3 linked regions of the Arabidopsis thaliana genome follow. The protein of the gene in region 1 interacts with the protein of each later gene in a pairwise test. Each region holds a gene or a part of one and is shown on either strand. Other genes may lie near its edges.

Region 1 (12,469 bases):
TCAAGAGAGAGAAAAGTTCGAGAAACGATGCAACGATTGTGCCCGATTCTTCAATATTGTTTTGCATGAATTAGTATCTAGTGTCCTCTTTACCAATGCAGGGTTTTTGTTAGCTATTCAGTAGCTAATCGGTTGATCTTTGTCTATTTTCATCTTTTCCAGTATCTTTTGGCCAATTTTTCTCTGCTGTAAAGCTTCTCTGATTTGCCAAAAAAAAAAAAAAAAAACACTTCTGTTTTGCGAGATCTGTATTATTCTCTTTTATAGAGTGTCTCTCTAATAATTTAACTCTTTTGTCGTCCTCTATTTTGTATTTTTGATGGATAATTCTTTTGAGTATTAAATTTTAATTGGCAACAAACCCAAAACTAAAATAAAAATTAGATAATTTCTTCTTAAAAATAGAAATAAAATGGTTATATATTGACTGCGTCAATCTTAGCATAATCTACTAAGCCTAGCTATTATTATTTTTCACTCAACTTATGAAACATCAACATTAAATGCTTAACATGCTCTTTAGAATTTTTCATTGTCATCAATAAACAATGACATATTCTTTCAATTCCAATATGAACATTTGATTAAGCAAATCTAAACATTGCGCTTTAGCTTACTGCTAACGAAACCAAATATATATTAGGTATCCCCATCCCGTTTCGCAGAATTGTAATATCTCTTTTTAAGAGAATTATTTCTTAATGATTGTTGTATTAATCTTTTAGTAAATTATTAAACATTAAGAGGTCGCTGGTCCGAATAAGACTTCGGAAAAAACTCATATAAAATACTCGGTTCATAACCTAAAAATTATTCAATAAAAAAATACAAAGTACTGAATGTAAAATAAAAATAAGGGGTATGGTGAGTGGCCCCAAGCCCCCCAATCAAAAGATGTTTATTTGAAAGGTAATTAGACAACGTGAAGTCGTCTACTCCGACCCATCAATCACTAATCAGCTTCTTTTGAAATATTTATCATAATATATGATTGTTTAATTAGTATGAGTAGTTACACCTGCTTCAACCATTTTAACCACGATTGTTTTTAGGAAAATTAACAACAATGTCATATTTTGATAGATGCCTTTCATTTCTACCACATTTACCTCTACTTTTCTATTTTTACAACATTTATGATGTCAAATAATATTTTTATCCTCAGATCTATACATTTCACATTTTCTATTATATATAAAGACACCTTCCCGGGCAACTTATGTAATATGTTATACCATACTATATATAAATGTTTAATTAGTATGTGAATTAGAGCTTTAATCATCGCACTCTAATGGAAAACAGATGTGGTATGTGGATGATGAGATGTCAGCATCAAAGAGGTTGAAATTAAATTTATGTATATAAATGATATGTCAATTTTTGGCTGAGATGGCAACATGGGATCAGAAGAGTGCTTAGTTTTGTATATATATAGGATGGAGAAGTATCTATATAGAAAACATTGTCCTGAATATTATAATACCTATTAGGTGATTGAAAACATTTTCCTAAATATTAGAATACCTATATAGTGATTGAAACTATTTTCACAAACCGAACAAAAAGTAGTCAACGTACTACTCATCACATCTAAGAAGAGCAATGTTTCAAGCTACCAGCACGGGGGCTCAGATTATGCATGCGGCGTTTCCCCGTTCTTGGAGGCGAGGGCATGTCCTGCCTCTCCGGAGTGCAAAAATCTTCAAGCCCCTCGCATGTCTCGAACTCAGAGGAAGCACAGGGTACACATACATATACCTCCCTCATTTAAATTCATAAGAGCTAATCTTATTTCATCGAGGGGTATTCTTGCTAGTTGCTACTAAGGCAACTATCACGTGCCTTAGTTCTAAAAACAATGCCCTTTTCCTAAGAAATTTGAGAGTCCAAGAAATTGAGAGGAGATTTCTTAATTGTAACTTTGGTTCAGTTGTAGCATATTAAGGTGATGACTGAATAGTTTTTAAAATTATAAACTAAGGCCAAGGGTAACTAACTAGCTAAATTATTCACACATTTACCTTCTCACGGCCATATAAATGTACTTCCTTTTATGACCTACGATTATCATTTTTTTTAGCGAGTTTGTAAAAAAAAAAAAAAAAGAGAAATATATGTTTGCAACTACTATTTCTTGTTACATATATATTGGAGTTTTATATTTATGATTTTGTTTTTGTGTGTAATGACTACGTTTCTTATATATAGTGGCCAAGAGGAGTGAATGTAATTATGTTGCTTTATTATCTTATTAAAATCTCTATATGGCAGAATTGGTGGGTTCCATGAGATTGAACTTAAAGTTCGTGATTATGAATTGGATCAGTTTGGTGTTGTGAACAATGCTGTTTACGCAAACTACTGCCAACACGGTTAGTTTTCTTTAGTTATAAATTTTGTGCGGTCTCAAATTATTATAAACCCTCGATTGAAGTCGAGACGTGTACTTACGTTAGTGCTATGTCACATTCTTACAAAAAATGGTTTGTTAAACTTATTTTCATATATACAAAGGTCGACACGAGTTTATGGATAGTATCGGTATCAACTGTAATGAAGTATCCCGTTCTGGTGGAGCCTTGGCAATTCCTGAGTTAACAATAAAGTTCCTTGCACCTTTACGTGTAATATTCTTACTCTCTTTTCCAAGAATATTTGTTCTCTTTTATAGAGTTAATGTTTGTATTTATGTTGATATCTTCGAGCAGAGTGGATGTAGGTTTGTGGTGAAAACGAGGATATCGGGGATATCTTTGGTGCGCATTTACTTTGAACAGTTCATCTTTAAACTTCCAAATCAAGAGGTATATTTAGTTGCTCCATCAAGCCTTTTGTGTTGGTTTTCTGCTTGTGTATAGTTTTGATTAATTAGGATCCTTTTGGTATATAATTGACAAAGCAGCCTATTTTGGAGGCAAAAGGAACGGCTGTGTGGCTTGACAACAAGTACCGGCCTACTCGTGTCCCATCTCATGTACGCTCATATTTTGGTCACTTCCAGTGTCAACACTTGGTCGATTGATCCACATTCTAGGGCATCACAAAATTTATGACCTATATATTTTGGTTTGTTACAATTTCGATTTGATGCAGAAAATATAAATATCCATAATTTTACAGACCAAAACATAGATTCAAATTTTTTTTTTGGACAAAGATTCAAACTTAATACCTATTAAAATGAGGCAAATCATAGTACTAAAATCTGAAGAGCAAGATATATGTGATGATATATGTATACATATAATTATATATATTTAAACTGTATAGTTTATTATATCTAGGTTTAAATTTTTATGAATTTGTATTCATCACATTAATCCTAAAATATATCAATAGTGCTTTTTGTTTGTTGAATTTTGAAATTTGCTATATATTAATTATTTTAAAAATCTTATCACGTAACTGGTGAAAAAAACAAAATCTGAAGTAATCAATATCGGTCAGAATATCTATCTTTTGACATAAGTCGTTACAGAACGGGTATGGATAAAAACAAATGGCCGATCGAACAGAGGAAACTAATCAAAAATCACACAAATTCATGATATCCGCTCTATGTCCACTCCTGTGACATTCTTATGATTTTTGTACATGTTGTGAAACTCGTTCTCTTTTCTTTCTTTTATTCATATTATGTTATATATCTCTTTGTACATCCAATTTATCCATTAAATTTATATTTCGTCTTATAATCGTGTGGGTTTCTATAGTCAATAATACTATGACTTGGCGCCATATATATTTGTATATCTTCAGAAAAAATGTTAAAGTGTTTTTAAGGGCAAAAATATTAAAAATTTTATAAACTTTTAAATTTGGGACGATTTAATCTTCAACTTCACTGAAATAAATAAATCGTAAAGTTTTTTATGACTTCCTAAATAATAAATAAAGTTTTTGTTGACTTGCCATTTGAGTAATGTCGTTAAATAGGTTAACAATTTTATTTTTTATGACGACGTCATTTATTGTAGAGACAAAACGACGTCGTTTATTGTAGAGACAAAACGACGTCGTTTATTACAGAGACAAAACGACGTCATTTATTACAGAGACAAAACGACGTCGTTTATTGCAAGGACAAAACGACGTCGTTTTGTGTGTTAAAACAAATTTAAACCCTAAATCTCCATCTATCACAAACCGCAGACCCAACAATCATCTTCTCTATCTCCATGTCGGCTCTCTTGGTGAATTTACTCTTCAACAAAAGAAGAAGAAGAAGATGATGAGTTATAAGAAGAAGATGAGTTATAAGAAGAAGATGAGTTATAAGTTTTTTTTATGTTGTCTGACTAATGTGTTATAATTTTTTTTTTTTTGTGGGTGTTATATTTACGGATGTCAAGTTGGTTAAACCAAATCAAACCAATCTATATTTATATAAATTTAGATTCTAATGGATAATGAGTCAATCTAATTCATTTAGCAAATGGTTTGGATAAAACAATTAGTCATTTAAATTATTGAATTAATGAATTAAATAAGTTTATTCAATTAATAATTTCTCTATAGATGATAAAAAAAAATTCTATAAGCTAAATAATTATCATTAATAATAATTAATAACTATTATAATTATCAATATAAAACATAGAGCAAAAATGCTTAACTGACATTTAGGTTGAGAGGCAGCGAGAAGCCCTTGTACATTTTTGATGGAATTCATCATACTATAAGCCACATCCCCTTGTAAGGCCAAACCATCACCACCACCGGTGATCTACCCCTGATACCAAAGACATCCCAATAGGCATCGGATACATGCAAATTCACATCATAGTTAAATGGAAAGGGGAAGCTAAATGGAAAAGAGAACATGCCCTTGGAAATTTCTCCAAAGAGCGACAATATATGAGAAAGCCGGTTTATATGGGATCCTTAAAAACTTAAAGAGGAAGCAAAAAAAAAATAACCTAACATGAGATGTACCATAGATCCCATATGAAAGGTTTGATCATAATGCTAGAGAATTCCTATTAATGCAATCAGAATCAAGCAAAAACTCATATTTAAAATTTATATGGCTACTTTTAAACAAATTTCATAGAAAAAAATATTTTGTTGTAAGTACTAAAATTTTCCTATATCACTCAACTTATATATGAGTAATGCATATGTTGAAAAGAAAAAGCTAGCAAGAACTCCTATTTAAATTTATATGGCTATCTATAAACAAAATTCAAAGATTTTTTTTCATTGTAAGTATTAAAAATGTATTATATTACTCAACTTATATATGAATAATGCATATGTTGATTTTGGTAACTTAATCAATAAACATATAAGAAAATTGATTTTCTTATGTGTAGTCAAAATATTAATGACATTTCTCTAAATTACCTTTATTAATTTTTGGTAACCTTATTAAATTTAGTATTCAAATCTAAGGAAGTATTTTAATGTATTTTGATAGTTCTTACCTATAAATGTGATATTTTGTGCTATCATGGTCGCGAGAGAAGTTGAGGAAAGGGAGAAAGTTTTATAATAATTGTTGAGATAACATATTTTGGTATACCGATATTTGGATACGAGGTTATGGAAACTGGCAACGTTGTGAATGCACAACCTGAATTATCAGGCATAAGTAAGAAATTTTAACTTTTTTATTTTCTCTTATTGAAAACTTGTTTTGGTTATAATTTTTTGGTTTTTGTTCGGCAGTTGATGGATCCAAGAGCTATATGTACGAGCAGTTATGGAAACTCTGTGCGGGACCTTTGTGTGATATTCCAAAACTTGGAGAAAATGTTTATTACTTTCCTCAAGGCAATATAGAGCTTGTGAGTTCTCCCTCTCTTCTCTCTCTCTCTCTCTCTCCCTCTCTTCTCTCTCTCTTCTCTTTCTCTCTTCTCTCTCTCTTTCTTCTTTCTATCTCCCTTTCTTCTCTCTCTCTTCTTTCTCTCTATCTCTCTCTTGTGTATGAAACCTTTTGACGGCCTTTTCAGGTTGATGCATCTACAAGAGAAGAGTTGAATGAGTTACAACCAATTTGTGATCTTCCTTCTAAGCTTCAATGCCGTGTTATTGCAATTCATCTTAAGGTATATCTCTATTATGTTTTAGCAAATACGCATGATATCTATATTTGATTTCATTGTAAAAAGAAGTAATTGGTTAATTGTTTGATGTTTGATTTTAGGTGGAAAACAATAGTGATGAGACTTATGCTGAGATCACTTTGATGCCAGATACAACTGTAAGTGAAAATTTAGTATTTCTCTTTTATTTTCAGTCAATTGTATTTTTCTCCTATTATATCTCATTGATTTTCTGATTTTGTTAAATCCTTAGCAAGTTGTAATCCCTACTCAGAGTGAAAATCAATTTAGGCCATTAGTTAATTCCTTTACGAAGGTTTTAACGGCCTCTGATACAAGCGCTTATGGTGGATTCTTTGTTCCGAAAAAACATGCCATTGAATGTCTCCCTCCACTGGTATTTAATGTTATAATTTTTTTAAATGAATTTGAATTTTAAGATTTCATTAGACATTACATATTAAATTTTGGTTTAGGATATGTCTCAGCCTCTACCGGCACAAGAACTTCTTGCTAAAGATCTCCATGGTAATCAATGGAGATTCAGACACAGCTATAGAGGTAATAATTCATTTTATTCAAATCATTCAAACACAGCTATTGAGGTAATAAATCCTAGAGAAGTAACTAATAATCTTCTTATTCCATGCAGGTACACCGCAAAGACATTCGTTAACAACTGGTTGGAATGAATTCACAACATCGAAAAAGTTGGTTAAAGGAGATGTTATTGTATTCGTTAGGTATAATATTGATTCTTGTTATATATCTTTTGGTTTTGGAGTTTTGGACTTTTAAACTATTTACTTGTGGTTTTAGGGGAGAGACTGGAGAGTTACGAGTTGGTATCAGACGAGCAAGACATCAACAAGGGAATATACCTTCATCAATAGTATCAATAGATTGTATGAGACATGGGGTAATTGCTTCCGCAAAGCATGCTCTTGATAACCAATGTATATTCATTGTGGTTTACAAGCCAAGGTAATTCAAAGAACCATTTGAACTCACATTTTAGATTATATTGATTTATCAATAGATTAGTTCCTTCAACATATAGGTTTATATTTTGTGTCTTTCTAAGTATCAGGTCAAGTCAATTTATTGTCAGTTACGACAAATTCTTAGACGCTATGAACAATAAGTTCATTGTCGGTTCAAGATTTACAATGCGGTTTGAGGGTGATGATTTCTCTGAAAGAAGGTAACATTAGATGAAAAAAAATTTCTGCATAAATATATTTATAATGTTTAATATTATCAATGATAACACATTTTGTTCAATTGATTAAGATATTTTGGGACAATTATTGGAGTTAATGATTTCTCTCCTCATTGGAAGTGTTCAGAGTGGCGCAGCTTAGAAGTAAAATTTCATTCACACTTTATAACATTCTTTTAGGAATACGTTTTTGAGTGCAATAAATAACATATCACTAATTAACTTTAATTTTGCAGGTTCAGTGGGATGAATTTGCATCATTTTCGAGACCTAATAAAGTGTCACCCTGGGAGATCGAACATTTAATGTCTGCGTTAAATGTTCCGCGATCATCTTTGCTCAAGAACAAGCGTTTACGAGAAGTTAATGAATTCGGTATAAAAATACACTCTTATAATCTTTTATTTAAAGGATTAATCTTCTATTTAATGAATTTGAGACTCTTGAATACCTTCTCAATATTCTTGTTTTATATACATGTTCTTCATCATCACATATCTTGCCTCCTATATTGACACAAGGACAAGAAATTGGACAACTAAGCGTCGCCTCCCCGATGAATACTTCTCTTCGTTATCGTGATACAACTGAAGATGCTATGAATCCTTCTAGATTGCTAATGAGCTACCCTGTCCAACCAATGCCCAAACTAAATTACAATAACCAAATGGTTACACAAATAGAAGAAAATATAACAACCAAGGCAGTCACTAATTTTAGGCTGTTTGGAGTCTCTCTAGCCATTCCTCTAGTGATCAAAGATCCCATTGAAGAAATTGGCTCGGATATTTCGAAACTTACTGAAGGAAAAAAGTTTGGTCAAAGCCAAACTTTGAGATCACCAATAGAGATCCAAAGCAAGCAGTTTGGTTCTACTAGAACTTGTACCAAAGTAAGTATAAGATCAATATTCTTATTCCTTATATATGAAACTTTTTCTCATTGTACTCAACTCATGCAATCTTGATATGGAACAGGTTCAAATGCAAGGTGTAACAATAGGAAGAGCTGTGGATTTAAGTGTTCTTAATGGATATGATCAGCTAATACTAGAATTGGAGAAGCTCTTTGATCTCAAAGGCCAACTACAAACTCGCAACCAATGGAAAATAGCTTTCACAGATAGTGACGGGTATGAGATGCTTGTTGGAGACGATCCATGGCCGTGAGTTTCCTTTCTATTTCTATTGATTAAAAGATTAGTTAAAATCTTGAGAGACATTGATATTTCATTTTTGTGTTGTTTGCATGTAGTGAATTCTGCAAAATGGTGAAGAAGATATTGATATATTCAAAAGAGGAGGTCAAAAACCTAAAGTCCAGTAAGAGTCTCTCAAGTTGAATTAAGAATAAAAAAATATGTAATAAAAAGGGGTCAAAAATGTTATCGGTGTCTCGTTCTATTTTTATTTTTCTCTTATTTGTTGTTGCATGCATTTGTATTATGCACTTTTGTTTCCATCGTCCATAAATGAAATAAAATCCTCTTGTTGTCGTGATATTGAGCTTTCTTTCTAATTTATACAATCTACATATCACATCTACATTCTAAAAATTTGAGTGTAATATTTATTTTATGATATTTTGAAAAGAAATTTGTGTAACACGATTTGGGAATTTAGGCTTTAATTTGTTTCAACAGACAAAACGACGTACAATAAACGATGTTGTTTTGTTTTAACAGAGCAAATAAACGAGACATTAACATCGTAAAAAAATCTGTTAACCTATTTAACGACATGACTCAAGTGGCAAGTCAACAAAAACTGTGTCATTTATTTAGAAAGTCAACAAAAACTTTACGATTTATTTGTCTTCCGTGAAGTTGTAGATTAAATCGTCCCAAATTTAAAAATTTGTGATTTGTTTTGACATTTTTCCTTATTTTTAAGTGTATATTCAATGAACTAGCATAGTAAAGTTAACTACTATGTTGGCTGCTTGGTTCTATTTATTATATAACAATAATTTACAGAGAACAATGCGACTAACCTAGAGAATTGCGTTTTTGACCAATTCTCTTTCAATAAGAAATCAATCCAAGAATCAATTAGATCTTGGTGAAAATCTAAAAAGTTTTTCTTTACTTTACTTTACTTTCTTGCGTTTCAATAAAGCTCCATATGAGCTATTCAATTTTCAATTCTAAATTGCTATGTCTATAATCTCATTTGAGTACAAACATATGTTGCTTTGGATTTGATTTCAGGTAGTTTTGTAAATTATTGTTCTCATGTAGAATTTCTAGTTAAACATTGCGGCTGAGGAAAGTATTTTTTTTAATGGTTTTATTTTATTAAGAGATGTTAGAACTAAAAAAGATATTTAAGAATTTGATCATTTAAAAAAGATTTACCAATCTATAGTTTAAATTATTGATAGAAAATAAAAGATATTTTGAATTCTATTTTGCATTTTGTTGTCTACTTCATAAACCTGTTTCAACGAGGAACCGAATATTCAATTAGGTCATGTATGTTTACTCAGAAGGTTCGTCTATATGAAAATGAGAAATGATGTTAGTTTAGTGACAAAAATGAGCAACATCCACATAGATCATCTGAATGGATTTTTCTAATTTAGGCAAATTGTCAAACTCATTACTCCTCTAGATGAACTTAATTGGAGCATTTGGATGAAGAGGATTCAATCAAAAATAACCAATGACAAATATGACATCATTTATGATCATATCAGATAATGTAATTTTTTTTATATAGAGAGTTCTCATTTTCTATTTTAAAAATCACATTTTGCATAAAAAAGAACTCTAAAAATCATGAATTCGCGGATTATCATTTTCCATCAAAATCACAAAATCGTAGAATTGTGTTTTTCCCATTAAAAATGTGAAATCACTAGTTTTGTTTATGGAAACTTGTGAAAATGTCTTTCCAATAAAATGTTCAATTGTAGAATTATGGAACAAAATATTTCCAGCAAATCATGTTTTTCTTCCAACATCACAAAATTATTTTTCTCACCATAACCAAAAAAATTATATTTTCCGTCAACCCGCAAGAATCATAAAATTAGTTTATATATGTTAAAATAATAATAATGAATATTTAGTTGTGCATATATTTTATTGTAACAGTTAAATTAATGTAGGTAAGATTAAAATTTAAAATGATTAGATCCAAGTAAAGGTTTTTTTAGTCATTTTCTTATTAAACTCGTTTAGATGAAGGTGAATATTTATAAGAATTAAGCTAACAAACATAAACTCATTGAAATGCGGTATCTAAATGAATATCCAACATTTGAAACAAACAACATTCTGATTGAGCATTTGGATGAACATTGCAATGGACTTTCTCGATGGAAATACAAGATGATCAAACGAACATTGCCCTTAATATGACTTGGCGATCATAGAAGGATTCATGGTTTGTTTTGAAATTTATGTTATCGTGACTTTGAAACTAGACAAGATTGTCAACGATATAAATAATCGCTACACAAACAAATCTAATCCTCTTGGAAGAAACTTACCATTAAAAGGCTATGAAAAGAAAGATGAAAAATTGGATCTAGATTTCTTTTTAACTTAATTTTAACCGATTTTATTGATTATGTAATTTTATATAATAAGAGAAGGTTTTCCTAAACTTCTCCTAAAAAGACGATATTTGGCGTCCTCATTATGTGAATTTTGTACTTTCAATACAAAAAAAACACAAAAAAAAAACAAAACCGGGCCTATCTAACTAACCTAACATAAAGGCCCATTCTATTTGCTATACTCCATATTGCCCATTACTTCCTCCAACTCTCGACATCTTCTTCCTCCCCAAGAAGATTCCTAAAAAAATTAAAGCATCTCTCTTCTTCCTAAACATCAACGAGAGGAGACTTCTGGGCGCCATCTAGATTAAAAAGGTTAGTCATTTTTTAAATTTTTTTTACCATATGTCTTTGTTTACGTTGAATTAAGTGATAATGGGGACGTGAGGCATCTCATCATTGTTCACAATTACTTTAATCAATTCAATTCAATCTTTCAATTTCAATTTTGGGTGACTGATTTCTTCCCACCAACTTTAAATTACCATAAATCCAAAAACTTCAAAATTTTAATCTATGTAACGCCTTCATAGTTTAAATTACCATAAATCCAAAAACTTATTAGCAAACGTTTGCGTAATTATGGTAATTTAAAATTCATTACAATCCCCAAATTATCTCCCTTAAATATTCTATAAAGATTTGTTTTCCAAAAGCTACATATACGACACACACCACCTCTCTCTTCTCTCTCACAATGGTTAAAACTAAAGCACTAGCTCCCTACTCTACCTTAGATTAAATCTACGACGATCATTTAACCGCAGGTAACAATAAGATTGTTGTTCGGATCATCCATAGTTGGGAATTTTGAGACTTTAGAAGAAACAATAGCTTACTAAGTCTTGAATGTCTTCTTTTTGACGAAAATGTAAATAATCCTAACTATTTTCCATCTTCTTCAATTTTTTACATTCATTATTACACATAATTTTATATTTTCTCACACGATTGTGCTATAGAAGCTTCTGTCCTCCCTAATCGGCTGCCTAACTTCCAAGATCAAATGGTTCTAGGCAATTTGTACGGCATCAATGATTTCGATGTTGTTGCTTCCTCAAACCGTTATCGTCGAACCAACCACAAATGTAAAATTGTTTTCACAGACAAAACGTTTTTGGACAGTGTTAAAGAGCGACATTGCTCCATTGGTTACGAATATGTTAGGATGTAAGTTGCTTGAATTGGTAAACAAGGGCGATCGAGGAGCTTCTAGGTAACATATTTTCCTCTTATTCCCCTTATGTTAACGTCCCTTTCTTCTAACTCTGCCTATATGTGATTTCCATTCAACTCCCTCTTACCTTGGTCAAATTTCGTCTTGTCGGACATCCCAAAACAAAGACCAAACAAACCCTCCCAAGATAACATTCAATATTATATTGACTTGCATTTTAGAAAGGTACAGTTTCTCCAAAACCCCCACTAAAAACAAATTTTAGTGTTTATTAATGGTTCTTAACATTAATGGTCTCCCAATGACAGGAAATACAACAAAAACATTCCTTCCAATGATGTGTCCTACCAACAAGTTAAGAAAAGTCAACCACTACTAGTTTCATCCGGTTCTGAAACCAAAGAACAACAAGTAATCAACATGCCATCACATCAATACAAGCCATATGTAAGG
Region 2 (10,377 bases), on another chromosome or scaffold:
TTTAGTTTAATGATTTCATCGATTTAGTTGATGGATAAGATCGATTTATATTTAGTGCAGATTTGGTTGATACCGCATTTATGTAGCGAATCCGATATTTATTCTAAACTACGATTATTTTCCAAAAGAAGAAATAAACCATAACCGTCTAAACATTCATTGTATGTACACACCAAGAAAATATTTATGTAATCTGCTATACAAAGATAGTTTTAAAAATGTTATTTTTGGAATTAGCCAAAGAATATTTGTTTCGTGATTCGGTTGCCTATTGATTTTTCTAGGTTGAACCGGGTTATCTGTAAAACGATGTCTAAAACTAATTATTGGAACATGTTAAAAAAGCTATGTGTTCTTGTCATTTAAAAACATTCATAGTGGCCAACTACAATCCCTATTTGTTAGATCTATTTCTTGATCATTGTAACCGAATTATTTAGAGTACATAAAAACTAAAACAAGGGTGGTTTCATCGATTTAGTCGGAGGATTAGACTCATTTTCGTTTGTAATGCACATATGATTGTTGCCATTGGCAACTACGATTAAAGAAACTTAATTATCCAACATAAGAAATATATCATACCTATTAAGAAACTGTATATGTTTTTGGTTTATAAAGAAAGCTTTTAGTTTTTTGAAAATTTCCAACGAAAATATTATATTTCCTTTATATAGATGTAGCTAGATATTAAAATCTATGTTTACTTTAAAATGAAGCACACGTTAGTACAGTCTTAAGGACGGGGCTGATTTCATATGCGCATGTGATGAGGCATTGTCCAATCCCTTAAGAGACGCCAAACTTTGCGTACTCCTCAATTTCATTTCGTTTAGTTCTTTACTTTAACCCATTTGTATGAATCATCGCACTAATCACGCAATTACCACACTCAAACCCCGCTTTTACGAATACATCGCATTAAGTCTATTTTAATGAGAACACCTATTCTACTTTTACTGTTTGTTGGTCGGTAAAAGTTGATTTCCTTGTAAAAAAGTAAATACGACTTGACCAAATCAGACACCCCCTAGTATCTATCATTCAGAGTTATGAAATTGAGGAAGTTCAGTAAAAGAAGTCCATAACTCACTTCAATTGTATTGGACCGACCTAAGCAATCAAATCATGAAATGGTTTTCAAAGTGATTTGATTAGTTTGGTTGGAACTTGGAACAATGAACATGGTGATCTCTATGACTTACTGTATGATTACTAATTTCATACTTATACTAGACATGATAATGTAATTGAGACTACGAACCTTGAATTTTTGGCGTTAGACAACCATATAATAAGATTATGATATCCCAAAAGGATAAAAGATCTCTGATTTGTCACAACTAAAAGTTGAATATACATCACTTAGATATCCAAGGAGAGTTTTGGTGGTAGTGAATACAGTACTACGACTACATTTTGCGACAAGTCTCTTTTAGCAACTTGGATCCACTGATTTTGAGCTCCTAGACATTTTCATACTCCCTGTAGAGATACATTATATAAATACAGATCAAGCAAGAGACATTACTAATCTTTTTACAAAGAAAAAACGTACAGGAGTAATTAAGGAAGAGGAATCTATAAGTATACCTCAGCTGCCAACGAAGCTACAGATTCCCTGCAACAAGTTTCGCCACTGTTAATTGTTTTGCATGATCATCTTTGTTTAAGCCAAATCAAAGAATATAAAGTGATACCTTCGCTGCTCTGATTTTGGGAGATGTTTCGACATTATGGACTCCTGCAATAGAATTTCTCTTGTCAGTTTCTCAACAGAAATCAAAAGATATTTCCAATAAGTGTAGTGTTTCTCCCAAAACATAATAACGTAGAGAGGAAAAGAGTCTCTGAGCCATTAGTAAAGAAAAATGAGAAAAGAGGACCTGTTCTTGGATTATGCTTCTTGCCTCGACAAGCTGAGCTTCGAGTTCAAGCTCTCTCTCTGTTGCTTCAGATGTAACAGATGCTCTTTTAGGTGCATCTTGTAACTGGACCATGCTTTCCTTTATTTTTATGTCCAAACAGCAAAAATAAGTTAACCACGGATACAAAATGTACTTTGTTCTGTAAATGCAAAATGTTGTTAAGAAAAAACCTTTATGGAAGCCATCTTAGTACGCAAACTTTCTTCTATTTGACCTCTAGCCATCCGGTAAGGTAGATCAAACACGTCCTGTGTAATGACTAGTTAGTTAGATTCGGGGGCAATCCATTATATAAGATTATAAAGAAGAACCATTCAGTGATCTAAGCTTATGCATACCGTCTTCCCACCCAGTGGAGATTGTGAAGGATCAGCCTCACGTTTCTCACTTCCAGCCAATGTAGCTGACCCATTTGGAGCATTTAAGAAATCACGCATATCTGTCTGCAACAAAACCAAAGATAAAAACTTTTCTTATGAATAAACCATGTTAAGTTGCTTACGTTAAGCTTAGTATGGAAATAGAGCGTACCTGCATGGATCGAAGTAATGCTCTTAGACTAGTGTTCTCAGCCATCAATTCTTGATTTTTCGCTTCGTACGCATCCACCTGCAGGGAGGGAATTAGTAAGTAATGCCCTTTTGAAACTCAGCACAACGTTATTGATATGTAGTTAGATGCTTACTATCTTTTTATAGAAGTCGGTATCAGTCTTCTTGCCATTCCAGGTACCACGTTGCCTCCCTTCTTTCTAGTATATACATCAGATAATCAGTCAAATAGAAAATCCCTTGAGTGCAAAAAACCAAGAAGCTGGTAAAGAACCTGTAGCAAATTCATAATCTCCATTCCAGATCTTGATTCTTTCTTTTTCTCCATTAACACTTGATTCAGCCGTTCCTACAAGAGAAACAAAGCGTTCAAAATGCAGAATTAAACAGGATGCAGAAAAGCTAGTTTCACGAGAAAAAGATACAAAACCTGCAACTTAATGTAATCCTTCTCCTTTTTCTTCATTTCGTGTATCTGTTGAGCCTTCACTTGCTATTCAGAAATAAAAGAAGAAATGCAGAGAATCCATCATCAGTACAATTTCCTCTAAGATAAAGTAGTTAATCCAAGAGCAAACACAATCAGACCTGGTTACCAATCACCATCCTTTGGAATTCATCCCTCTCCTGCTGTAACTTTTCAATCTGAGACTTCAAAGCTGCAGTGTTTTTGGCTTCCTGTCAACACAGTGAATTCATAATCAAACAAGAGCCTAAGCGAAAACAATTTCAGCTGAAACTTTATAGGACTCACGGTTCTGGTAATTGTTGCAATTTCTCTGTCCTTCTGTTGGAGTAGCGCTTCAAGCCTCTCAACTTTAGCTTCAAGTCTAGCTATATCCGATTGCTGTCTACACACAGTAAGGGAAATGCACATAAACCACAAGGAAACATTCTTCCGCAAAATCAAAGTAGATAAAACTGCTACAATCTCCAGACCAATACTAATCCTCAAAGAACAATTTCAATTAACCACAATGCAATGCAAAGCAAATTGAAAGAAGGAAGAAAAACAAAATTCACCTCTGTCTCAGCTCATTAGCAGATTCTCTAAACTCTATATCACGTTGTCGCTGCTGCAGCAACGAGTACATACAATTGCAGGTCCTTGATATAGAAACCTAAATCAAACAAAAACCCTAATTAAAACCCCAAAACATCCAAACAATTTCAGCATCAATAATAAGAACCTACAGGATCATTCGAAAAGAGATCGAGCGAGGCGGGAAATCCAAATGTAACCATCGTCTGATTCAAATACTTCGTACAATGCTCCAAGTTATCCTCATTCGCAAATGTGTAATCCCTTCTCAATCAAAAAAACAAAAATTCCAATCAGTACTCATTGGAGATTTTAAAGTAAACCCTAGGGGGATTAAGAAGAAAACTAACCCTGCTGACGCAGATTGAGATAAAACCTGTGAAGAAGAAACCATAGAATCAGTCAATGGAGCTTGAAATTGAAATTCGATGAGGAAAACAAATCGGAAAACAGTAATCTTACTTTGAGATCGTATTCAGCATCATTCGCCGGCATTTTCGAAACGGCGATGAGAGCTTCCACCTCCGGCGAAAACGGCGGCGTGAGCAAACGATGAAACAGAGAATCAATTCACAGGAACAGATCTAATCTAAGCAGAGAGAGAGAGAGAGCGAAAACAAATTCAAAAATCAAAAATATCTGAAACGGAATGTTTCTGGAGAAGAGCGAAAATAAAAGTTTTTAAAACCTTTTTCACTTTGCTTTTTATTTCAGTAATAATAATCAAAAGGATTTGTTTTTGTGATAATGAGCTTTAAGGAAATGATCCTGTGAAGAGACACCTACTGGCTTCAGTGCTCCTCCACGTGATTTTGACGCGCCAACTGTTTAGGCTTTAAGAGAAGGAAGAATGTGGGCCCATACTGTTTTAATTGGGCCTATTAAGGCTTTATTGAGCTGATGTGTAAGGCCTGTTTAGACTTGTGCTAATGTTGGATGAGCATGACAAAATGATTATCATTGTTTGGTTAGAAACAGACCAAAACAGCGGGTAAGTGTTTGATTGTTATTTAAATTTTGATTATTATCGGGGAGTGGAATAAGCAAACATTAACGTATGTCTGTAGAATCGAAAAAAAACAAAAATCGAGACAAATTAATTAGATGATTAAATATAACATGTAGACGTAGTAATGTGTTAAACTATAGTCCTAAATTGAGATCTATGAAACCGAGGTAAGTTTTAAATATTTCCATGCCTCCATGTCGGATCTTCGAGTCTTCTAATTCGAATCCCGAGTTGAAATTTAAATGTATAGAGTAAATTATTGTTTGCTTCAAACTTAAGAAAATATGCTTCTTGTGCTTCGTTTTATGTCTTCTTGGGTTTGCTTTAGCTTATTCACCTATTGCTTGTTGGATCCACCGTTAATTTTTCATTTAATAGTCCATATGAAAATCAACATTTTAGCATAAAATTACAATTTTAGGCACAGTTATTTGACTCATACATGATTTACCTATACATTTGGTCACTCAACTTAATTATTTGCGATTTTAAAATCGTGTATAATGTTTTAAAATGACTTGAATTGGAATCAACTAATTTTAGGTAGCTCGAACAAACTTGTTATTTATTTATTTTCAGATAAGTTCCGTACACCAAAATCTATAACCGAAAAGACTTTGGATTATATTGTATGAGTTTAGAGTGCAATTCTTCTTTTTTTCCCTCTTTTTTGATCTAAGAAATTTCTAATTAAGTTCACATATTTTCTTGGATCTAATCACTCTAAACAACTCCTCCCAAATAACATGAGTTTTCATTATTATTAGAGGGGTGATGTCTACATTTTGGACCAAGGTCTAATACTTTGTTTTACTTTCGTCAAACCGAGTTAAATCCGAGAAGTATGAGATCAAACGTTAAACGTATTCATGTGTGTGTATGTGATGTTACATGGATAAATGGCTATGCATGTATATTCTATATGACGTTGATGTGTGGTCGTGTGGATATATGCGTGTGTTTACCGGTTAATACAATTTTTATATTCTTCGTATGTATGCTTGATGTGTGTATTAGTGTATGAAAAGAAAATGACGTGGAACTCCCGACCAGGCGCGAGTCAAGGAAGCGAGGCGTTCGGCGACGGCAGCGCGGTCGTCTCCGCAGCCCATGCGTTACAATTTACAAGATCTCTTTTTCTATGATACCTTCTTTCATTATTTAATTAATCACCAATTTATAATGTCTTTAATTAATTTGGAGTTTTCTAGCTAATTCACATTTCTTATTATATTGACTCTTTTTCACTGTTTTTATGTTTTCCCATCAGCTTTCTTTTTGTCCACGTAAACATTTCCAAACATTTTTATTTTAAAATTTCTTTATACTTGTATACATAAATACCTAATACCTTGCTGGTAATATATGGTCAAAATTAGTGAAACCTTGGAACATTTCCTGTAACAGCTCTTATTACTCTCACAGTCGCAGTGATAGATATATAGTAGAATAAGTTAGCAAAATACAATAATTGTAAAAACACATTTAATACATAAGCATGTGAGAACATTTTTACGTGAATCCAATTGTTCATTGAATAATTAAATATTAAATTGATTGTTAATTGAGGATTCATTGTCTAACGAGAAATCCAAAGAGCAGATGTACTTTCAAATTAAATGAAACATTTAAGACAACATTAAACCAAACGAAAATTGAAAAATGAAAAATAAAAGACACCTTTTTGTTTGCCACACAATTTACGCTTTCTCTATCTATTTATATGTACATACATTCACTTTCACCAGAATCTCATCAAACACACAGTCTCTCTCTAGCTTAACAAAAAAACACGAAACACTTTGAGTTCCATGTAAGCGTCCGTTGTCTTCTCTAAGTTACAAAAGCCCTAAAACCCTACTCTCAATATGAATAGTTTCGAGCCACAAAGCCAAGACTCTTTGCAAAGAAGGTTTCATCAAGACAACAGCACCACACAACAACCTCGTGACACCACGACACCTTTCATACCCAAACCGGCTTCCAAAAACCATAATAATAGCAACTCCAGCTCTGGAGCGGCCGGGAGATCATTCCAAGGCTTTGGGCTTAACGTAGAGGACGATCTTGTTTCATCGGTGGTTCCTCCGGTTACGGTTGTGCTAGAGGGACGTTCTATATGTCAACGCATAAGCCTAGACAAGCATGGGAGTTATCAGAGCTTGGCTTCGGCTCTAAGGCAAATGTTTGTCGATGGAGCTGATTCAACGGACGATCTTGATCTGTCAAACGCCATTCCTGGCCATCTTATTGCTTATGAAGACATGGAGAACGATCTCCTTCTTGCCGGAGATCTTACTTGGAAGTAATTTTCCTCCCCTAACATTAATTTTCTTTATTATTGTCAGGATGGCCATATATATACAAACTATATATAAAACGAGCCTTATTTTAAACATAGGAAAACTATATTAATTTTTTTTCCCCTAACGGTAAAATACTACAAACACAAGTTTTTCAAGCTGCCAAGAAAACACATGTTCTCTGCTTTTCTAAAAAGACAAATATCAATAATTTAGTGAAATGATATTTTGTTGCTATCCTTATTCTGTATACTCAATTTTGCTGGCTATAGTTATTTTGTTTGATACCGTTATATATCTTTCTTAAAAATTACGGTTTTCGTTCAATGTTTAGTATAATTAGATTTTGAAGGTTTCGTGATCTTTAACTGGCAATATTTTAATACTTGGACGTTAACGAGAAAATTTGCTTGTTGACACAGGGACTTTGTTCGTGTAGCGAAGAGAATTCGAATCTTGCCGGTCAAGGGAAACACAAGACAAGTTAAAAGAAACGAGTGAGGAGGAGAAAGACCGTTTTTGCAACGATGTCATACGATGTTTTGTAACAGCCGATGTCGGTTGAATCCTAATGGCATTACTGTAAAATCATCATTGGATGTGTTTGCTTCTTTGTTCACGTACGAAATGAAAAATAAAAAAAAAGTTGTAATACTAAATATAACCTATTTTTCTTAATTATAGTGTAAAACATGAAACGTTGCAGTAACAACACATGTTAGTGATGCGTAAAGAAGAGAGATTCCAAACCATAAAGAAGGAATCAATTCAGCTATACCGACAAGAACAAAATAAGATAAGCCAATGTTGAAACTTGTGGGTAAGAGTAGTTGTACAAAAATAATTTGTTTAAACGTTGAGGCAAATTTTTTTGTTTGGTCTCTCGTCATGTCACCACTTAGTTTCTTTTTATGTCTTCAATAGCCAGAAAATCATAGAACCCTTGACGACATAAAGCCTCATGGCCTTTGTCATGTACATGCCAAAACAATATAACAAGACAAAGAATAAGCTTCATGATTTGAGTTTTTATCATTACCTTGAAGACGTTTGTATCGTTTAGTTCGAATCTTCGAATGGAGGCAAGCCCCACTCTTCCGGTTTAAAATCGACTAGAGAGGTTATGATTTGATCTGCAACATCTTGGTGAGAGATATCTAGTCTAGGATCCGGTACCATAACCACGTTCCTGTAGATAGACATCAAGATGTATAAACTTGTTTCTCGGTTTTTATTGGCTTTTACATGAAGAGAAACCCACTTACATTCCGGCGTTTTTAGCAGCAAGAACTCCAGATGGAGCATCTTCAAACACCAGAACCTTTTGTGAATCCACAGGACCGTCCTAAGGAATCCAGACGAAGAGGAAACATTAGTCTACAACTCATTTTAAATATGAACTAGTTAGTAATGGAGAATCTTGGAGACTGTTGCCTGTTAGTTACCTTAAATCTCCTAGCAGCAGCGAGAAACCCGTCAGGAGCAGGCTTTCCTTGCTTCACCTCTGGATCATCACCACGAACTACGTGATGCATCAATGAGAAAAGCTCTCTGTGTCTTTGGGTTTTCAGATCATAATGCCGTGTGTGAGTACTGCAAGCGTACAATCAAACATAACAAGTCAGTTTCTGGATTGTAAAGGACAATGAGAATGCAAACTAAATGGTATATTATGAGATGAGGTGAAGAGATTACCCGGTAGCAATACATATTGGAATATTCTTTACATGGAGATGCTTAATGAGTCTACTAGCCCCTGAAAATGTGGAAGAGAATTGGTTCATGACCACATCAAAAACATAAATATCCGTACATGTAATCTTCCTGTGAACCAAATGTCATGTGTTACAAAAAGCAGAATCTACCTGGCATGAGCTCACTAGTAGGGAAAAGGTCTTGCAACATTGACTCTCTCTCGACAAGAAAGTCCTCAGCTGAAAGAGAGTCGCTAATCCCGCTTTCTTCAACAAAGATCCTGGCAGCTTCTATTGCTTTTCTACCCATCATTTTAGCCTTGAGAGACCAATCAAACTTTTTATTGAACCTAGCAAGTATAATCTCTTGGACCTCAGTGTAAAACTTCTCAGTATCTGCAACAGAAACCAAATCAGCATGAATGTATGCAGCAAGAGCAGATAAGCCAATGAAGTTGTGAGATTTTGAATACACAGAACAAAAACTCAATCGCTCGATTTCCGATCAGATTCAAGCTAATTGCTTTAGCATCTTAACATCAATTGTATGAAATCAATCCTGGAAACTAAACAGTCACTACTAAAAAAACCATCAAATCTAAACAACGATAGTGACAGTAGTACGATCTAATAAAGCTGGAGATTGAAGATCAGATGCAAGGAGATTACCGAGAAGAAGACCGTCCATGTCGAATATGACGTGAGTGATTGATCCTCTGCCGGCGGTGACGGCTGCAGGATTCGACATTGTTGATTCGATACCGATAACGACGAACCGAATCCAGTTTCAGTCGGAAGTTAGTTTTTACGCTGGAGAGTGATGTCACTATGACGTATAACAAAAGGTTCATGGGCCGTATCTTGTAAATGGGCCGGTTCACATAGAGAGTAGAAGTTTTGCTCATAGTGAAGAGTGCTAATAAGAGATGTTGAAACTTATACATTGGAACTAAATATGTTTAGTCTTCTTCTATACAAAATAAAAGTGAAGATTCGTATACAGAGCTTTTGTTAATCCAAAGACCAACAACGGCCAAAAAATTTTTCCTCTTGTAGAGCTCCGTCGTGTCCTTCAGATGATTCAATGGTTGTTTTTAGCAACAGCCTTAGGCGGAATCTCTCATTCTTGTATACATCAGAGGCTGAATTGATCCTCTCGAACTGCAGTTGATTCCTCTGCCACTGAATAACCACGGAAAAATAGAAAACAATCGAAGTGTTAAAGATCTTTTAGCTACAAGTAATCTGTTTTAACTCCATTTGCTTACCAATAGGACAATGAAGTATGTTAACTAGATTAATTACTTATGGCACTTATGAAGGCATGCATCATCATATTTTGTGGTTTCAGTCATTTTCTGGTTAGAATCGAGAAATTAGCTACAGAGTTCAAGTGAAAATAAATACAAAAACCATATCCACCAGGATGATCAACACTACCTATTCATAAAGATATTACGGCCAGATATAAAGATCACATCAGCAATTTACTCAACAAATGAAACGATTTGAAGATAGCAACCAAGTGGGAAATTTTCGACTTCGTGCAAATTCAATGATGCAAAGAAAAGAGAATCAGAGAACAAAGTGAGAAGCTTGCAGTAGACTTAGGAGCTAACAGGAATCTTTTAAAAAGCTTTATTATGAATAATTGAACATAGAATGCTTATAAACTAAAAACAAGCACATATCACATCTAACCAAGAGGAGGAATCCGAAAAAATAAACCTGGCTTTGCTGCAACCCATCTCCGGATCCTTCTGCAATGTACATAAATAATGGCTAATGAACAAATACTCCAAAAAATCCGGTGATGCTTCGAACAAAAACTATCCTACATAGCACCCGAG
Region 3 (10,053 bases), 7.6 Mb from region 1:
GCCATTTCAGGAATAGAGGATTCGGTAATGCTAATGACACTTGGCTTTATTTAATAAATAGAAAGAGAGTATTACAACAATTGTTGAAGAAAACAACATGATCCATCATTTTTATCCGCACATTCCAATGATCCACGAAAAGGTTAACGCAAAGAGTCCAATGATGACCAAAAAGAGTGAGAGTAACGAATTAATCATCGTTACTATGGCGGCCACAAGTGCAGTAACAAGGGACACCCCAGGCAACATGAATAACTGTACGGTAAATTGGAAATTAGGAAGCACATATCGAATGCAACTGAAAGCAAGTAGACCCAGCCATAACCTGGAAAAGGACATTTGTTAGTTCTAGAGAGGTAAATTATGTTGTTTAGCCATAATTGTAAATTTAGTTAGATGCGCACCAGAAGTGTCGACTAGTATCTTGACGTGATGATGACTCGGTTAGAATATGCCATAAAGACACCACAATCAAGGACACGAAGAAAGATTCAAGAAAATTTTCCAAACGGTACTCCATCACCTCGTTGCTGCAAATCAATAAAAACCATTGTTGAGGATATCAGTCTCTAATGCCTGAAAAAGAAAAAGAAACACAGTTTATACCTTGTCTCTGAGCTAGCGTTTTGGATATACTGCCATAAACGGCAACATACAAAAGGCAAAGTGGCAATAGAGGCACAAGTATAAAAGATGATCCATGTAAACAAAGCTACATCTAGTTCTGGATCTCGTTCATCTTTTGTTAGAATCAGAAAAAATATGGCTGCAACAATCTGGACCAAAGTCACAGCTAACTCGACCAAAATCCAGAAACTTCCACTTGTAAATGGACAACTCCATTGAAATGCCTCATGTGGAGTTTGCTCATGATCAGCTGATGACGAACCGCCATTGATTGTAATGTCGATGATGTGCTCATCATTTGAGGAAGAATCGCCATGGATTGTAACGTCTTCGACGTTGTGCTCACTCTTGGTTAACAAAGGGCCCTCCATTGATCACTTTTTTGCTTTCTTCTATTTTGTCCAATCGAATTAATAGTTCATCTAAACAAGCGTTGAAATACAAATTACATAAAGCCCTCTCCGATTCTTTGGTGCTAAATTATTATTCTAAGACCCAATCTACGTCAAGATCTATTCTATAAGTCAATTGTAAACTTCTAACGAACAAAAAAAAAGTTAGTCATTCTTCTCTAAATACGAATAATAGACATTTCCAGCTATATTATTATCTTAAGACCTAATCGACACCAATACCAATTCTAAGTCAATCACATAAAGTCCTTTACAATGAGTAGACTTTCGGAGCTACATTTGTTTTGTGTGTTTTTGTTTTACCTACACCAAGACCAATTATTAGTCAATTGTAGCCCGTTAGAGTAAAATTTCAAAATATTTGGTTCTAAATTATAGTCTTCCTAATTCTTTGGTGCTTGATGTATTATTTGGGAAGCTAGAAGAAGTAATATGTCTTTTTTGTAAAAGGAGAAATCTTTGGTGTTAAATTTTATTATTTGGGAAACTATAATATTTTATTATTTTTCTTAGTTATCTTATCTTTGGTGTTAAAGTTATCTATATATCCATTTCGATTTACCCAAATCTGTCAAAATAATAAGGCCTATAAAAGGTTATTCTGAAACACGTGATTATTTGGGTAAATGTCACAATGAGGTAGGACTCGACTCGAAATAAGTCAGATTTTAAAAAGCCCATTAAAGTACGGGCCCTTAAAATACATATCTGAATAGCGAAAACGCACGAATAAGAATGGTCAGTCAAAACTGTCATTTAATGGAGAATAATATTAACGAGGGAGAAAAATAAAATAAAAAGAGGAAATAAGACGAGATGATCATATTTGATCATTTCAAAAAACCTTAGCTACTGTTTTTCTCTACCTTAATAAGATTAAAATCATCAACATGAACACAAAACATTTTTATTCTGGTACTCTGCTTTACTTTGATTTTAAACGCCCATTCTCCTAGGCTTACAAACAAAATATTTTTATTAGTTCGATTTCAGCAGATGCATGATACAATGCATGCTACAATGCCTTTTAAGACTTCCACAGCAAGGAGAACACATATGACCACAGGCGTAAGTAAAAGCAAAGGAGTAGTATAACAGACCATTGCCAATGTTAGATTAAAAAGAACATATCTAATGCAACTGAAAGTAAGGAGAGCCAAACATAACCTGCAAAAGAGACAATGAAGAAGGCCAAAGGCATGAGTATAAGAAAGGTCAATATATACGTTTTAAGGTATACATATGATTGGAAATTTCGTTTGATACGCACCAGAAGTATTGAGTTGTAGTATCATCTAGAGCTGATGAGTCGAATGCTTTGGAAGAAAGAATCCATAAAAACACCACATACCAACCCACGAAGAAACCCGTCATAAAAAAGTCCATATCCTTGTTGATTCTGCAAACCAATAAAACCATTATATCTCAATCTAATGCATAAAAAGATAAAAGAAAACACAATTTATATATACCTTGTCTCTCTTAAGTATTCATCTGTAGATTCGGAGCCAACGCTTCGGTTATAAAGCCAAAAACGCCAACATAGGATAGGGAGAGTGGCAATACAGCCACATGTATAACCGATGATCCATATAGACAACATTGTTTGTGGATGTTCTTCATCTCTTGGCTCAATCAGAACGATTATGACCGCAGCAATCAAGACCAAAGTCACAACAAACTCGATTGAATTACAAATGCTTTCATTTGTGTATGGATCACCCAATTCAACACCCTCGTGTGGTTGCTGACCATCAATTGATGAAGAACTACCATCGCTTGTAATGTCAATGATGTGTTCACACTCGCTCAACAAAGGGCCCTCCATTGATCACTTTTGGTTTTTCCTATTTCTTGCCGATCAAATGAAAAGTTCATTCAAATTTGCGTTGACGAGCACAAAGCATATACCTTTCCTTCTTTGTTGATAAAATTATTAGTATTTTTTTAGACCAGATCAATACTAAGTACGTATTAGTCGTGTTACAAATAAAACATTATTTTGAAAAATGAAGATCAAAGCTGAGATTTCAATGTTTATATATATTGCAGATGTTTTGGACAAGTTAAATTGTTAATAGGTCAAATGATCTGTATGATATTTATTTTCTGTTTTAAGACAGACAACACAAGAAGACAGGATCGTATCTTTCAGTTTCCCACCACTTTTGTTTATTGAATGTGTACAATTACTCTTGAGCGAAAAAAAAATAAAAAAAAAATCAACCTCATCTCATCACCACCTAACTTGTGATTGACAGAGAGGGCATGTGGATTTGATTTTCAGCCATTTGTCTATACATTGCGAATGAAATACGTGTGAGCATTCAAGTTTCCTTAGTCCTACTCCTTTTTCCTCTCCATATTTCCCCAAGCATATGCAACAACTCTGCACACACCATCAAACCATGAAAATTAAACAACAACAACAACAAAAAAATGCTATTTAAAACAGAGTAATTAATGTGATATGAAATTATTACTCACATCATCATGGCTCGGTTTCTTGAAAACAAATCTACCTCCTATACCTTCCCTTACAGAATCTACATCATTTGATTTCAACTTATCCACATCATAGATATGAGAAAAAAATGTTCCAAACTCTAGTGAACATTAAGCGAAAAAAATACCTGCGCATAATAGTAATGCATATGCAAATCTAATGCAACTGAAAGCAATGAAGACTACACATAACCTGCCAAAACATAATCAAGAAGACAAAAGTTAGTACTGATTAGTTAGGGTTTAACTAAATCTCTACTGTGACATGATTGTGAGTCAAACCTGTAGAGCTTAGGAGTATCAGAAGAAGATGAGTGTCCATAACAAATCCATAGAATCCCCATAACTAACCACACAACAAAGAAACATTCATTCCCCATCTTCAAAGCATCCATTACCCTATCCGTTCTGCCACCAACAACGGTTCGGTTTGATTTAGCTAATTAAACTCTTAATGTTAAGTGAAACAAGTGTTGTTTATTATACCTCGTTTTTGAGTAAACACCAATTCGGTTGTATTTGCGGACACACGAGAGGAGAATAAGGAGCGTAATGGTAATACAGCCACAAGTGTAACCGATGACCCATGTTAACAAAAGTGCTTGTTGATGTTCATCTTTTGCCAGAGTTAAAACTATTAATGATGCAACAATCTGAACCAAAGTGACTACTAATTCCATTATATTCCAAAGACTACCACAGTCTCTCGTAGATGAACTTGCACCTTCATCTGACGATTCGTCATCCGTAGACAGAGACGAACTTAATGAAGGATAGCTTCTCTCGTCCAAAGACGATCTTGATGAAGAATCTTCATCGTTTGTAATGTCGATTATGTGATCATCATTATCACTGTGGGATTCGCTGTCCATTATCACAAAGTCTTGTTGTGTTATTCATTGGCTAAAGCCAGCCGACAATATATTATACGCAATTCTACATGATCAATCGAAAACTAGAAATTGTGTACAAGGAAATTTGACTAATCTAGCTTATCTATCAACATGTGAACATTCCAAAAATGTACTATTGGAGATACAAAGATATGGAAATATCTATGAAAAATGGAAATATATCCCGTAATTGATATTTTGATCAGTTCTGTTTCTATTTCGTAACAAATAATGACAAAAGTATGGTGTACATGTGTAGATTACGTATGATGTAATGAAAGTATCGGGCACATGTGTGAATAGCAGAAACAAGATATATGACGAAAACGTAGATGCATTTTTTTCTTTGAAATTATGTATGCACTGTGTAGTGTGTTACGTGTAGAAAAAAATGAAATAATATAATAACTTGTCTTAGCCTTGAGTAACACGTGTTCGGTTGTCGAGAAACATAAATATACGTAGATTTTAAAGTGCACTAATATATATTCGACCATGAATATGTTGTTTTATTATTATGTCGTTGATTAAAAGAATGGGATACAGACATAACAAATCACACATAACATGGGATGTCTAATAGAAAGTAACGTGTTTCTGATCCAACGGCTGAGAAAGAAACCCTACTTTGTCGGTAACAAAATCGTGGCCGTCCAGTGTGTCGAACCAACGGATCCATATTATCGACATTTAAACACGAAGCGGCAAAGGAATGAAAAAACATGACATAAAAATTTCGACAAGATCTTCGAATGGGGCCGACAAGATAAATCAATGCTAAACAAGCTTGTCTCAAACGCCATCGTTTATGTTCCCATGAGAACATATAAAGTGGCAACAGAATAAAGTTCAAACACATTAACACCAATACTTTCAATCAAAAACATCAAAGATGGCGAATGAGAGTAATAATCTTGGACTCGAAATCACCGAACTACGGCTAGGTCTTCCCGGAGATATCGTCGTCTCCGGTGAGTCCATCTCCGGGAAGAAGAGGGCTTCTCCGGAAGTAGAGATTGATTTGAAATGTGAACCGGCGAAAAAGAGTCAAGTTGTGGGTTGGCCACCGGTTTGTTCGTACCGGAGAAAGAACAGTCTCGAACGGACCAAAAGTTCGTACGTGAAAGTGAGTGTAGATGGAGCTGCATTTTTAAGGAAGATTGATTTGGAAATGTACAAATGTTACCAAGATCTTGCTTCCGCTCTGCAAATTCTGTTCGGATGCTATATCAATTTTGGTTAGTTTATGTTTCTATATATAGTATATATTTTTGGTTTTAGTCTTTACTTATCAAGGCAACTAATGATCCAAAACATCGATATTAACTTTATAATCTTTATATATGAAAATGAAGATGATACGTTGAAGGAAAGTGAATGTGTACCAATATATGAAGACAAAGATGGAGATTGGATGCTTGCTGGAGATGTTCCTTGGGAGTAAGTTTCTAGCGACCTCTATAACATTCAAATTTACTTTCTTTTATTTAATTGATATCTAATAAATTATGAAACTATTTGTGTGCAGAATGTTCCTTGGATCGTGCAAGAGGTTAAGGATTATGAAGAGATCATGTAACAGAGGATGAATGATATTTATAGTCACATGTGAATGTGAGTGAGCCTTACAGATATCTAAATATACATTTTTGCAGTTACTCAATATTTCTCTTCGGAAGTCTAAGATTTCCGAAATTTCTGTAGAAGTTGTTTTCTTTGACATAGTTCATTCATCTTTATCTTTTGGTCACTGGACTAAAGTCTAGAGGCGGTTCTTATAAGCTACTGCATGACAGTTCAATATCAACAATCAATGAAATTTGAAATATAAATACTTAAACCTACTTCATATCAGAAAACTGATATGAAAATTCCGAATCTGTTTACATTGCCTCAAGATGGGAGAAAAATGTACATTCTCGTTACAATAAAAAAAACTCTAGGTACCGATTAGATGTTCCCGGGTTTGGAAGAACCAAACCACGGATCAAACTAGGCTAAACCGAATTCTAATCAGGTATTAGATGAGTGGGACTGTGGAAATTCTGTTTTATGAACAAAGAGTAACAGATGAATGAAAACGAAATTGGACCATCAATGTGACAAAACTATTATCGGTTAGGAGTTGAAACCTTCAGAATAGCGTGTCAAGTAGCTTTGGAGACGTGAGAACCGCCACAGATTTGTACTGCAAATCCATAATAAGTCTTATGAGAATCAAGGAAACCAAACTAAAGTTATACCAAACAGGTTTTAGTATGTGGTTTTAACTGATAAGCTTACTTTCTCTTGCCTATACTTCATGCGTATAGCGCTCAAGGGGCAACCTTTGGTGTTAAGCTGCAGATCTTGTAAGGCATGAACAGATGCTTTCAGATCCGATGCTTTGTACGTTGTGTAATGCTCAAGTGTTGGATTCTGCCGGGGGAAAAATCAAAAAGATGTTAAAGATCAAAGATTTTGTGGAGCTAAACTGTGTCTGGATATACAAAAGAGAAGCAACATCACAGACCCATGGGTGGTTTGATTGGTCCATTGTCCACTTGGCGAGAAAAACCGCTGAAGCAGCAACAACGGAAGGAAGAAACTTTAAGAAATGGTAGTCTATTAATGTCAACTCTGTTAGATAGCTGGCTAGAAACTCGACTTCAAGGCTTGGGCTCTGCCGAATCAGCAATCAAATATGGACACATTCTCAGTCTTTCTACTAAACTTTGTAATTAGAAGAGATAGGGGAGCAAATTGCGAAATGCATACCAGGCGAGAGGCTTGAGCTGCTCTGAGAAATCTCCTAAGGAACGTTTTTGGAGTGGGAGTGTATATTTGAAAGCTAAAATGCTTAAGTACTTGGTTCTCCATTTCCAGGACCTGCACATCACGACTCCATTAGCACATTGCACACTTTCTTTTTTGAGGATTCAGACAGCAATCTCGGTATACCTGATCTCTTGTGTAGGTGTTATCCGTAATGAAGCAAAACTCCTCAATGCGTGGAGCAGAGATTTCCTCATACTTCCTGAAAAGTTTATAAACAAATGCAGTATAAGTTTAGTTTAGCTTTTGAGAAGAGATTTACTAGTGAGATTGGAGAGGAACATACGAGGCAATTAGCATGCAAGTGATGCCGAGCAGTTGAAGTTGCTGTCTTTGCACGTAGTTTCCATGGAGGAACCAGTCTATGAGATACACTGTGAGGTAGAGAGTGTCAGATGCAAGTGTGTATTCTTCAGAGACCTGTGATTGAAATCAGACTTTTGTGAGAACCCGGAAAAGGTCATAGTAGCTTCAAAAGTTAGCATCAAAAGTAGAACTAAACACTAACCTCCACAAGCCAATCAACCAGAATTCCCCGCATGGACTGGGTGACATCCTTCTGTATTCTCTCCATAAAGTCCGGAAGTGGTCTGCGTTTAAGCTGCCAGAAGAGAAGTGACACAGAAGCACAAGCAATAAAACTTTCAGTCCTTTGGCTCACCAAGTTTCTTTAGAGACTATCAAAGCCTAGGAATTACCTCTGAAACACGCAAATTGTAGTGGATTTCAGGGGCATAGAGGCAGCACAGTAAAGGATCCTTGTCATCTGAATCGATGTCTACAAATTTTGGGATATCCGGTACAGTTGAACTACCAATAACAGCACTTTTCTCAGCTGTAACCATTTGCAAAAAAGATTTATAAGTCATTAAAGACCACTCCTTTATACAATAGGAACTAATCATATGAAAACTTGTGTTAAATGGATCACCTGTAGAAGCTGATCTCCCAAGAGGTCTTGGAGGCAATCTAGAATTCCATATCTCAATACAGTTATCAGCTGTGTTATCTGTGCCTTTAGAAACAGAAAGGTTTCCTGCTGTATTTGATGCAACTTCAACTTTTGCATCGGTCCTGGACTGAAGATCTGTGACTTCTGAAGTAACAGAAGTTGCCAACTGGGATGTACTCGCCAATCCATGACCGCGTCCTTTCTTTATCTGCTTGCTGTTTTTGGCCTGAAATGGCAAAACCCATGTTTCAGTGATGCATGTTTTACTTCACAAGATCTTTACAAAAATTCACAGGAAACCAAACACTATAAAGAAACATAATATAGTTTTAACAACCTCAAGTATAGCTGTATTGGAGTTAACATTTGTGATCTCCCCTAGAACCGCTCGCTTCTTCCTCTTGTTGGGTCCAGTGGCTCTTGTATCCTCCAAGGCTGGTCTTTTTGTGTTTACTCTCTGTTGATTCTGTGTAGTAGAAGTCACTTCTGAAGCGCGCAAAGCAGAGGCAAGGGAACGAGTGAATGGCCGAGACACAGCATTTTCCTTCCCCATGTTTAAAAATCCCACGATAAAACACAGCCTTGAAGAAGTCTTAGAGTCTTAGGATTGCATCATCTTCCTCTGATCTGTCAAAAGAACGCAAAGATCATTAGTTAAGGCAATAGAGAGATCAACATTCAGAGCAGATAGCAATCTGCAACCATGCATATAAAAATGTTCTGAAAAAAAGATGGCCAATTTGACTTAATAATCGAACCAATTGAGTCTTACAGAGGATTTTCCTTGAAAATTTTCCACTGATCAACAAAAGTATCAATAGAAGATACATTAAAGTTCAAAGCTTCAAACTTTTTTTCAAAACTCCGTAAGATTCAATGGTAGAATCAAAAGTTATTTGATTTCCTTATTGAACAATGCAAACAGTAATGCAGAAAAAGACTCCAATTTTATAAAATCTAGAGAAGAAAAAAGATTAGGAAAACCAATATTCGACAATCTAACTACTATTTCTTTCTTTTATAAATACCATCCATAAAAAATCGGAAGAGAAGCATCAGACTTTTCTCTTCAAAAGCAGCTACATTTCAATCTGATGACAAAAAAAAAAAAAAAAGCAGCTACATTTCCTTGGGAAAACGAACAGATCGTGAGAAACCATTTGCAAACCCATGAATCAGAGCTGCACCATTCTACATAAATCTGAAAGAACCCACAAAACCCTATGCCTAAAATCAACTCACATTCTCTTCCTTTTTCTTCACATTCTCCTTGAGAAAACCTTTCAACATCGACAAATTTGCAATAAATCCCAAAAAAAAAAGTTGAAAACTTTGGCGGCTCAAACACAAAACGAAATGCAGGTACGCGGATGCACAAGCATGAGCATAAAAATCGAAACTTTCTGATAGAAATAACAAAATTAAGTTAAAAAAAGATTTGAGATTTGACCTGAGAAGCTCCAGAAAATTCTTCAGGGAAGAAAGAAGAAAGATAGGAGCTTTGGACACAGATCGAGATGGTGAATCCTGAATCCGCTCTTTGGGGAAAGAGACTGTCTTTGAAAGTGAAGGAGACACGCACACACTAGTGTGGTTTAAACGATAAAGAAGACACATTTAGAAATAATTAAGGAAAGTTAAAAAGAAATCAAAATAATAAACTTTACTAACGACATTAAATCAAAACAGTGTTTTTTAAAAAGAAACATTACTAAATGTTTTCATGTACAGAGAATATAATGAATTTTAAAAATTTGACTTGTTGACCATTACATATATGGGAGATAGACAAAAAGGAAGTGTTTTTATTGGGGGAGACTTGAGTTAATTAAATTAGTGCTTAATTTTT

The links.
Region 2: the proteins of ARF20 (region 1) and IAA33 interact in a two-hybrid assay, tested with the Arabidopsis thaliana proteins (2 studies listed by BioGRID).
Region 3: the proteins of ARF20 (region 1) and IAA5 interact in a two-hybrid assay, tested with the Arabidopsis thaliana proteins (2 studies listed by BioGRID).

Annotation. Positions count from the first base shown.
Region 1 is NC_003070.9:12,923,602-12,936,070, reverse strand, and holds ARF20 (auxin response factor 20), read left to right. Parts: upstream 1-5,547; coding exon 5,548-5,596; intron 5,597-5,673; coding exon 5,674-5,792; intron 5,793-5,957; coding exon 5,958-6,053; intron 6,054-6,151; coding exon 6,152-6,208; intron 6,209-6,303; coding exon 6,304-6,447; intron 6,448-6,526; coding exon 6,527-6,611; intron 6,612-6,702; coding exon 6,703-6,793; intron 6,794-6,869; coding exon 6,870-7,034; intron 7,035-7,140; coding exon 7,141-7,254; intron 7,255-7,343; coding exon 7,344-7,416; intron 7,417-7,508; coding exon 7,509-7,647; intron 7,648-7,793; coding exon 7,794-8,164; intron 8,165-8,249; coding exon 8,250-8,437; intron 8,438-8,526; coding exon 8,527-8,614; 3' UTR 8,615-8,768; downstream 8,769-12,469. Other genes in the region: AT1G35255 (uncharacterized protein), read left to right, coding at 1-124; AT1G35250 (Thioesterase superfamily protein), read left to right, coding at 1,606-1,745, 2,275-2,375, 2,518-2,627, 2,712-2,807, 2,906-3,025; AT1G35242 (uncharacterized protein), read right to left, coding at 4,675-4,827.
Region 2 is NC_003076.8:23,263,626-23,274,002, forward strand, and holds IAA33 (indole-3-acetic acid inducible 33), read left to right. Parts: upstream 1-6,288; 5' UTR 6,289-6,398; coding exon 6,399-6,835; intron 6,836-7,255; coding exon 7,256-7,334; 3' UTR 7,335-7,467; downstream 7,468-10,377. Other genes in the region: AT5G57410 (Afadin/alpha-actinin-binding protein), read right to left, coding at 726-788, 1,594-1,621, 1,701-1,744, 1,887-2,006, 2,099-2,176, 2,267-2,371, 2,460-2,537, 2,614-2,679 and 8 more; GS1 (Haloacid dehalogenase-like hydrolase (HAD) superfamily protein), read right to left, coding at 7,893-8,022, 8,099-8,178, 8,279-8,426, 8,529-8,589, 8,699-8,923, 9,197-9,275. UniProt on the Arabidopsis thaliana protein: Aux/IAA proteins are short-lived transcriptional factors that function as repressors of early auxin response genes at low auxin concentrations.
Region 3 is NC_003070.9:5,361,738-5,371,790, reverse strand, and holds IAA5 (indole-3-acetic acid inducible 5), read left to right. Parts: upstream 1-5,293; 5' UTR 5,294-5,330; coding exon 5,331-5,676; intron 5,677-5,793; coding exon 5,794-5,878; intron 5,879-5,966; coding exon 5,967-6,027; 3' UTR 6,028-6,279; downstream 6,280-10,053. Other genes in the region: AT1G15610 (uncharacterized protein), read right to left, coding at 112-325, 405-530, 607-998; AT1G15600 (uncharacterized protein), read right to left, coding at 2,030-2,207, 2,311-2,439, 2,513-2,868; AT1G15590 (E3 ubiquitin-protein ligase), read right to left, coding at 3,559-3,586, 3,828-3,953, 4,032-4,417; CYCA2;3 (CYCLIN A2;3), read right to left, coding at 6,573-6,626, 6,722-6,856, 6,951-7,100, 7,196-7,306, 7,379-7,454, 7,539-7,672, 7,761-7,853, 7,951-8,087 and 2 more. UniProt on the Arabidopsis thaliana protein: Aux/IAA proteins are short-lived transcriptional factors that function as repressors of early auxin response genes at low auxin concentrations.